Sus scrofa: one gene and its partner. The protein of the gene in region 1 binds, or shares a complex with, the protein of each later gene. Links are inferred from orthologs where the notes say so. Each region holds a gene or a part of one and is shown in the gene's direction. Other genes may lie near its edges. The genes, in order: ERCC2 and POLR2G.

Region 1 (3,803 bases):
AGGAAAGGCAGCCCTGGGCTGTGACGGTGCTACCAGCAGAGCCTTGCAGGGGAGAGCAGCTTCCTCTGATTCTTGGACCTTGCTAAGGTTCTGGCTGTTTTAGCATTTTAAAAGATAAAGCAGAAATTCCCATAGTGGTGCAACAGTAATAATCCCGACTAGTATCCATGAGGATGTGGGTTCGATCCCTGGCCCCGCTCAGTGGGTTAAGGATCCAGCATTGCCATCAGCTGTGGTGTAGTTCGAAGGTACAGCTCGGATCCTGTGTTGCTGTGGCTGTGGTGTAGACCAGCAGCTACAGTTCCACTTTGACCCCAGCCTTGGAGCTTCCATGTGCCTTGGGTACAGCCCTAAAAAGAAAAAAGATAAAGCAGTTATCTGTAATTTACCTGCTAAAGAATCTTCAAGGTGTAATTAAGAAAAAAAAATTCAGATATAATTGACACCATATGTGACTTAACTTTTTTTTTTTTTTTTTTTTTTTTGATCATTGTGTGGAGCAGCTTGATGAGGGATCTTAGTTCCCAGACCAGGTATTGAACCCAGGCTGCAGTGAAAGCACCAAACCCTAACCACTAGACCACGAGGGAGCTCCCTAAGACATACTGTTTTTGTTTGCTTTTTAGGACCACACCTGTGGCATACATTCCTGGCTAGGGGTTGAATTGGAGCTGCAGCCGCTACCCTGTGCCACAGCCACAGCAATGCCAGATCCGAGCTGAATCTGCAATCTATACTGCAACACTGGATTCTTAACCCACTGAGCGAGGCCAGGGATTGAACCCACATCCTCATGGATACTAGTCGGGTTCTTAACACCCACAATGGGAATTCTGGACTTACTGTTTTAAAAAGAATAATTTAAGAGCCTAACAATTGTACCAACTCTTGCTTCCCTGTAGTAAGTTTCCAGGTGTCTTAACTGTTTACTAGGGAAGCAGGTTGAGGTTCCAGTTTCCACGGATGCCCCAGTGTCACCCGGGACAGGACAGCCAGATGGCCCCATCCCGCCTTAGCCATTAGGTGTTGAGCCCCAGGTTCCAGGAGTGGTTGGGCTCCTTGGCCTGTCCCAGTGCTAAGATGCCCTCTTGGCCCCTCAGGTGACACCCCTGCGCTTTGGGAAGGACGTCGATGGAAAATGCCACAGCCTCACGGCCTCCTACGTGCGGGCGCAGTACCAGCAGGACCCCAGCCTGCCTCACTGCCGCTTCTATGAGGTGCCTGCGGGGCAGCGCTGAGGGAGGGAGGCGGGGACCACTCACCACGGCCAACCTCCCTGACTCCTGTGTGCCCTGTCACCCTAGGAGTTTGATGTCCATGGGCGCCAGGTGCCCCTGCCGGCTGGCATCTACAACCTGGACGACCTGAAGGCGCTGGGGCGGCGCCAGGGCTGGTGCCCGTACTTCCTTGCCCGGTACTCGGTGAGGAGGCTGGCAGGGCTTGCGCAGGGGGGGCGTGCGTGCGGGTTACGCCTTCCCACCCACCTGTCCCTCTGCCTGTGTCCCCCTGTCGGTCTGTCCCTTTGTCAGTCAGTCTCTCTGAGTGTGTGTGCCTTGCCTGTGTCTGTCTTTCCTCAGTTCGCTTCTGCCTGCCCATCTGTGTCTGTCTGTCTGTCTGCCTGAGCCCCTTTCTGCACCTCGTCTCTGCGGGCCTGTCAGGCAGCACTGGGGCCGTGTGCTGTGGGCGGGGGGCAGTAGCACGAGGTGGGCGCTGGTGGCCGGGGTAACCCTGCACTCCCGGCCCCCAGATCCTCCACGCCAACGTGGTGGTTTACAGCTACCACTACCTGCTGGACCCCAAGATCGCCGACCTGGTGTCCAAGGAGCTGGCCCGCAAGGCTGTCGTCGTCTTCGACGAGGCCCACAACATTGGTGAGGAGGGAGCCAGGGCTGGGAGGCCATGCCAGCCCCTTGGGCTGCCGCCCCAGCTGCCTGCCTGAGCCCGGCGTCCCCTCCTTCCTCTTCCAGACAACGTCTGCATCGACTCCATGAGTGTCAACCTCACGCGCCGGATGCTGGATCGGTGCCAGGGCAACCTGGAGACCCTGCAGAAGACGGTGCTCAGGTGCGGGGCGCCGGCCTTTCCCAGGCCCGGTTCTCTGCCTGCCCTGCCCCCCACCCCAGGACCCCGGTCCCCGTCCCCGGCGTGTCCCCAGCCCTTCCCATCCCCCGGCTCCCCGCAGGATCAAGGAGACTGACGAGCAGCGTCTGCGGGACGAGTACCGGCGCCTGGTGGAGGGGCTGCGGGAGGCCAGCGCCGCCCGGGAGACCGACGCCCACCTGGCCAACCCCGTGCTGCCCGACGAGGTGCTGCAGGGTGAGCCCCCCGCCTCTGTGCCCGCGCCCGCCCCGCTGGGCCCCTGGCACCCCCCCTCCCCGCCACCGACCCGGCTGAGCCCGTGTCCCCGCAGAGGCGGTGCCGGGCTCCATCCGCACGGCCGAGCACTTCCTGGGCTTCCTGCGGCGGCTGCTGGAGTACGTCAAGTGGCGGCTGCGGGTGCAGCACGTGGTGCAGGAGAGCCCGCCCGCCTTCCTCAGCGGCCTGGCCCAGCGCGTCTGCATCCAGCGCAAGCCCCTCAGGTTCGTCCAGCAGGGTGGGGGTGGGCCCGGGGCCGGTATGGGGACTAATGGAAGCCTGGGGGAGTGCGTGTCACACCCGTGGGGCGGAGGGGGCAGGTCGGGGGCTCTGGGGCCAGCAGGGGCTTGGCGGGCAGCAGATGAGAGGCAGAGGAGAGTTTGGTGGACTGTTCACGGGGGTCCCGGGGGCCGTGCAGGATGGAGGAGCTGGTGGGGTGACCAGGCCCCTGCACCTTTGCGGAAACTCATCCCACCCCAGGCCACACGGGGAGGGGAGGGAGTAGCCCTGGAGAGCGGCTTCTGATGGGCCCAGCAGGGTGGGAGCTGGCAGAAAATGCTGTGGATCCTGCCCCCCAGACCCCTGTCGCCTCCCACTGTCCCCCAAGCCCCGGGGGCAGGAGCCTCCCCTCAGTGGTCAGGGAGGTGGTGCATGGACCCGGGAGTGGGGGTGGGGCTTCCTGGGCTTTTCCTTTGCTGTTCTGCCTGAGTCAGTGGTCTTCCCTGAACCTTGGTCTCCTCCTTTGTGCCCCAGGCAGGGAGTCAGCCCCTTACTCCCAGGTTCCTGAGGTGGTTGGTTAGGTGAGAAAGCAGCCACGCCAGGAACTTAGCATCTTGAGTGCTGACAATGAGCTAAGCTACATTCCGTATCCGTGGGATCTCAATAGCGTCCTCGCCTCGCGCTGTGGATGGGGACACTGTGTCCCAGGGAGGGGAAGCCAGTGCCCAGGGCCACACAGCACTGTGGGGGTAGCTGTGACTCGAAGCCAGGCCTGTGGGGCTCCGGAGTTCCTGGCTGCTCTGCCTGAGGTTGGGCGGGGAGCCCTCGATGGGGCCTCACCTTTCACCCTGCCGTGGGAGACTTGTGAGGGCTGCGGGGAGCTTCGCCGCCTGCATGGTCCTGAGTGCCTGATCTGCTGGGACACGGTGGGGACTGAGACAGCCCTGGCCCTGCCTTCCTGGGGTTCACAGTCCAGTGAGAGAGGGACGTGCCAGGGCTGGGATGGGGGGAGGCCTGGGGGCCCAGGGAACATAGAGGGGCACCTGGTCGACCGTGGAGGAAAGGAAAGGAGGTTCAGGAAGCGGGTTTTAAACCTGACTGTCTGCCTGACACCAAAGCCGTGCTGCTGCTCCACAGCCTCTCCCTGAAGGGTGAGAGCCTTGAGTGGCCCTGTGTTGTGTACGGGCTGTTGCTGGACACAGTGTGTGCGAAGCTCCGGGAGTGTGTGT
Region 2 (4,544 bases), on another chromosome or scaffold:
GCTGTGTCTTTGACCTACACCACCACTCAAGGCAATACCAGATCCTTAACCCACTGAGCAAGGCCAGGGATCGAACCCGCAAGCTCATGGTCCTTAGTCGGATTTGTTAACCGCTGAGCCACGACGGGAACTCCTATTTATTATTTTTAATTCTATTATTATGAACTTTTTTTTTTTTTTTGTCTTTTGTTGTTGTTGTTGTTGTTGTTGCTATTTCTTGGGCCGCTCCTGCGGCATATGGAGGTTCCCAGGCTAGGGGTTGAATCGGAGCTGTAGCCACAGGCCTACGCCAGAGCCACAGCAATGCGGGATCCGAGATCCGAGCCGCGTCTGCAACCTACACCACAGCTCACGGCAACGCCGGATCGTTAACCCACTGAGCAAGGGCAGGGACCGAACCCGCAACCTCATGGTTCCTAGTCGGATTCGTTAACCACTGCGCCACGACGGGAACTCCTGAACTTTTTTTTTTTTTAAGGGCTGCACCTGCAGCATATGGATGTCCCCAGGCCAGGGTCCAACTGAAGCTGTAGCTGTCGGCCTACACCACAGCCACAGCAACAACAGATCTGAGCGGCGTCTACAAGCTACACCACAGCTCACAGTAACGCCGGATCCTTACCCACTGATTGAGGACAGGGATCTAACCAGAGTCCTCATGGATACCAGTCAGATTTGTTACCACTGAGCCACGATGGAAACTCTCTATTATGATCAATTTTAAACATACAAAAGTAGAAGGAAACATATAAAAAGCCACAGTTTATCCATCATCTGGCTTCAACAATCATTAATACATCGCCTGGAGTTCCCCTCCTGGCTCAGCAGAAACGCATCTAAGCATCCATGAGGACTCAGGTTTGATCCCTGGTCTCGCTCAATGTGTTAAGAATCCGCATTGCCCTGAGCTGTGGTGTAGCTAGCAGAGGGGGCTCGGATGTGGGATTGCTGTGGCTGTGGCACACGCAGTTCCATGGCTACAGCTCTGATTCGACCTCTGGCCTGGAAACCTTCATATGCCACGGGTGCAGGCCTAAAAAGACCAAAAAAAAAAAAAAAAAAAAAAAAAAGTCATTGCCAAACTTGTTTCATCTGCACCGCTGCCTTTTTTTTTTTTTCAAATATTCATTTAATTTTAAGACAATTACATTTTAATAATGGCTGTGTTTAAGAATTAGCTTGCAAAATTCCTGAAATAGTAACAGTTGGCTTTTGCAGGGGCTCCAGCACACCACTGTCAGCAGGTAAGTTTGCTCTTGCAGGGAGGCTGGCTTCAAAAAGAGGGAAGGAGAGGGGTCAGGGCTGCTGTGGTCCTGGCCTCCGTTCTCTCCAGATAAGAACAGATAGTTATTATGCTTACTCTGTGAAAGCAGTCTTCAACTGTTTGCTGAATGAATATATTCTGCTAAAGCGCTTTATTTATGACGTCTCTCATTAATTAAATCCACCGTTTGAACTTCTTGTCTAGACCTGGCCTTGCTAATTTGTGAGCGTCCTGTGCTTTTACAGAGGGTGGACTGGACGAAGGGGGAGGAGCTTCGTGGATTTCCCCGCCCACGAAAACGGGGCCCAATCAAGTCCGCAGACGAGACGTGTTCCCGCCCACCTCTCTGGGGCAGGCCCGGAAGCGGGATTGGGGAGGTTGGTGTACTTCCGGTCCTGCCGGGGGTTTTGCTGCTGCTGCTGTCGCTGTTTTAAGCCTGGCTGCTCTCGGCCTGGCTGCTGTCCAGCCTCCTCCGGGAAGATGTTCTACCATGTGAGCAGGGCCCGGGGTGGCGGCAAGGGTAGGGTCGAGAGGAGGAGCGAAGCGGAAGGCCGGGAGTAGGGGGCCGCTTCTTGCCTGGTCTCCATCCCACGTTCTCCGCAGATCTCCCTGGAGCACGAGATCCTGCTGCATCCGCGCTACTTCGGCCCCAACCTTCTTAACACCGTGAAACAAAAGCTCTTCACTGAAGTGGAGGGGACCTGCACCGGCAAGTGAGTGTCCCGCTCTCCGTGCTGCCTGAGCAGTGCGCCCTCGGCGCCCGGTGCCTTCATCCCCTCCTCAAGTCCTGAAAGTTTGTGCTGTCTACCCTGGAGAGCCCTCTCACCCACCCAGACGGCCCAGGCAGTCATTTGCTTCCTGCTTCGGGTTCCCATGATGCCCTCTGCGAAGCTGGATAACGGGACTAACTTCCCTCAGCCAAGATTGGTCATTCATTTACTTTACAAACATTTCCAAATCTCCAGCTGTGTGCCAGGCTCTGTGTTGGGCCCTGGGAATAATGCAGTGAGAAAGACAGAAGCGGCCAGCTCGAGCTCATAGTCTCTTTGGATTTTGCTGGTTTTCTTTATCCCCCACGCCCAGGGACCTGTCATGGCACATTGGGCTTCACTAAAAGTGTGTTGAATGAGGGAGTGACCAGGATAAAGCAGATTGAGAGTTAGGGGGAGGAAGGAAGAGCACTGACGTTTGACCGTCTCTTTGCTCTGCACAGAGGGACCTCTCATCTGGTGATGTAGACAAACCAGGATGAGCAGGGCCATGGAGTACTTGGGGCTCCAGCATCAGAGCAACTGGGGGTGTCTTTTGAACATACAGGTTCCTGAGCCTCATGTCATCCTTACAGCATCCCCATATCTCTGGGGACAGGCCTGGGGATATGCATTTCATATATATATATGTATGTTTTTTTTTTTTTTTTTTCTTCTTTTGCTGCACCCTTGGCATGTGGAAGTACCTGGGCTCAGTAGGTTAAGTATCTGGCATTGTCATTGTTGTGGCGTGGGTTCTATGCTTGGCCTGGGAATTTCTGAATGCCACAGGCCAAATAAATTTTAAAAAGAGATTGAGGTCTCTTGGCTCAAGGACTGCAGCCCTTTTGGACACTTATTGTGAACTTATGAGATCAGCATTTGGCTTTGTAGATGCTGGTCATTGCCCTGTCTTCTCTCTTGATCATTAAGTTCTCTGGGACCAGGAGTGCCATCTACTTGCCCTTTGTGATGCCCTTTAACCCCCAGGCTCGGTGACTCTTGTGGCAGATTTTTTTTTGTCTTTTTTTGGGGGGCTGCACCTGTGTCATAGGAGGTTCGCAGGCTGGGGAGGAATCGGCACTGTAGCGGCTGGCCTATGTCACAGCCACAGCAGCGCCGGATTTGAGCCACATCTGCAACCTACACCACAGCTCACAGCAATGCCGGCGTCCTGAACCCACTGAGTGAGGCCAGGGATTGAACCTGTGTCCTCATGGATACCAGTTAGATTCGTTTCTGCTGAGCCACAACCAGAACTCCTCTTGTGGCAGATGGTTTTAGAGGCTCTTCCACACCTTTCTCTTTCTCATCCTCCCTGCAGGTATGGCTTTGTAATTGCTGTCACCACCATTGACAATATCGGTGCTGGTGTGATCCAGCCAGGCCGAGGCTTTGTCCTTTATCCAGTTAAGTACAAGGCCATCGTTTTCCGGCCCTTTAAAGGGGAGGTCGTGGATGCTGTTGTCACTCAAGTCAACAAGGTAAGTCCATCCACAGGGCAGGTAATGGGAAGTCCTGAGAAAATCTGGGATGGGCCCCAACTCTTACTTGCTAACTCTGTGTCTTTGGCCAAATCACCTCTTTGTGCTTCAGGTGTCCTTACCTGCCAGATGGCATGGGAATCTTGTCCTGCCTCACTCAGGCAGGTGTAAAATGTAAGTCAACATTAAGAGTCAAAAGAGCAGTAGCTTCCATTGATTGAATAGATCCTGTGCACCAGGTGAAGTGCAAAGCCTCACAATGACTGTGAGGCGAGTGCTTTTACCTCCGGACTGAAGCTTGGAGAAGACTGCTGGCCAAGGTCATGTGGCCGACAAGTGTTCAGATTCCAGACAGACAGGTTCGAGGCCTCAGGTGTTGACTACTACACTCTGTTAACATAAAGTGAAAGTTTGAAAAAGGAGAGATGGGGGAAAAAATATAATTGTAATGTATACATGTAAGGATAACCTGACCCCCTTGCTGTACAGTGGGAAAATAAAAAAAAAAAAAAGAAAAAGGAGAGAAAAATGAAAACAAATGCCAAATTTCAGAGTGGTTTCAAAACATGAAGACTATTATTAGGATGCAGATAAAGACGGGATGCTCAGCAGACAATGGGGACAAAAGAAAAAACTAGGTCATTCATTTCCCTTTTAGGTCGGACTCTTCACAGAAATTGGGCCCATGTCCTGCTTCATCTCTCGACATGTAAGTCCAGGCGGGCTAGGTGGGGCTAAGGAGGAGACATTCATTCCTGACCGTCTCTTTCTTTTTTGGGCTGCACCTGGAGCACGTGGAAGTTTCCAGGTCAAGGATTGAATTGGAGCCACAGCTGTGGCAATGCTGGACCCTTAATCCATTGTGCTGGGCTGGGGATTGAACCTGCATCCCAGCAGAGACTTGAGCTGCTGCAGAGATAATCCTGGATCCTTAACCCACTGCACCACAGTGGGAACTCCCCGTGACCATCTCTTGAAGCGTCCTTTTAATGTGCTGACCCAGGAGTTCCCTCATGGCACACAGGGTTATCCAGCGTTATCACTGCT

Evidence for each region.
Region 2: ERCC2 (region 1) and POLR2G share a complex: the UniProt entries of both Homo sapiens proteins name them as parts of the TBP-based Pol II pre-initiation complex. The link is inferred for Sus scrofa from reciprocal best matches to the Homo sapiens genes ERCC2 and POLR2G.

Annotation. Positions count from the first base shown.
Region 1 is NC_010448.4:51,743,835-51,747,637, reverse strand, and holds part of ERCC2 (TFIIH basal transcription factor complex helicase XPD subunit), read left to right. Parts: intron 1-1,100; coding exon 1,101-1,217; intron 1,218-1,304; coding exon 1,305-1,421; intron 1,422-1,747; coding exon 1,748-1,871; intron 1,872-1,967; coding exon 1,968-2,064; intron 2,065-2,182; coding exon 2,183-2,316; intron 2,317-2,410; coding exon 2,411-2,579; intron 2,580-3,803. UniProt on the Homo sapiens protein: ATP-dependent 5'-3' DNA helicase. Component of the general transcription and DNA repair factor IIH (TFIIH) core complex, not absolutely essential for minimal transcription in vitro.
Region 2 is NC_010444.4:9,005,692-9,010,235, reverse strand, and holds the start of POLR2G (DNA-directed RNA polymerase II subunit RPB7), read left to right. Parts: upstream 1-1,604; 5' UTR 1,605-1,744; coding exon 1,745-1,756; intron 1,757-1,867; coding exon 1,868-1,977; intron 1,978-3,337; coding exon 3,338-3,497; intron 3,498-4,155; coding exon 4,156-4,206; intron 4,207-4,544. UniProt on the Homo sapiens protein: Core component of RNA polymerase II (Pol II), a DNA-dependent RNA polymerase which synthesizes mRNA precursors and many functional non-coding RNAs using the four ribonucleoside triphosphates as substrates.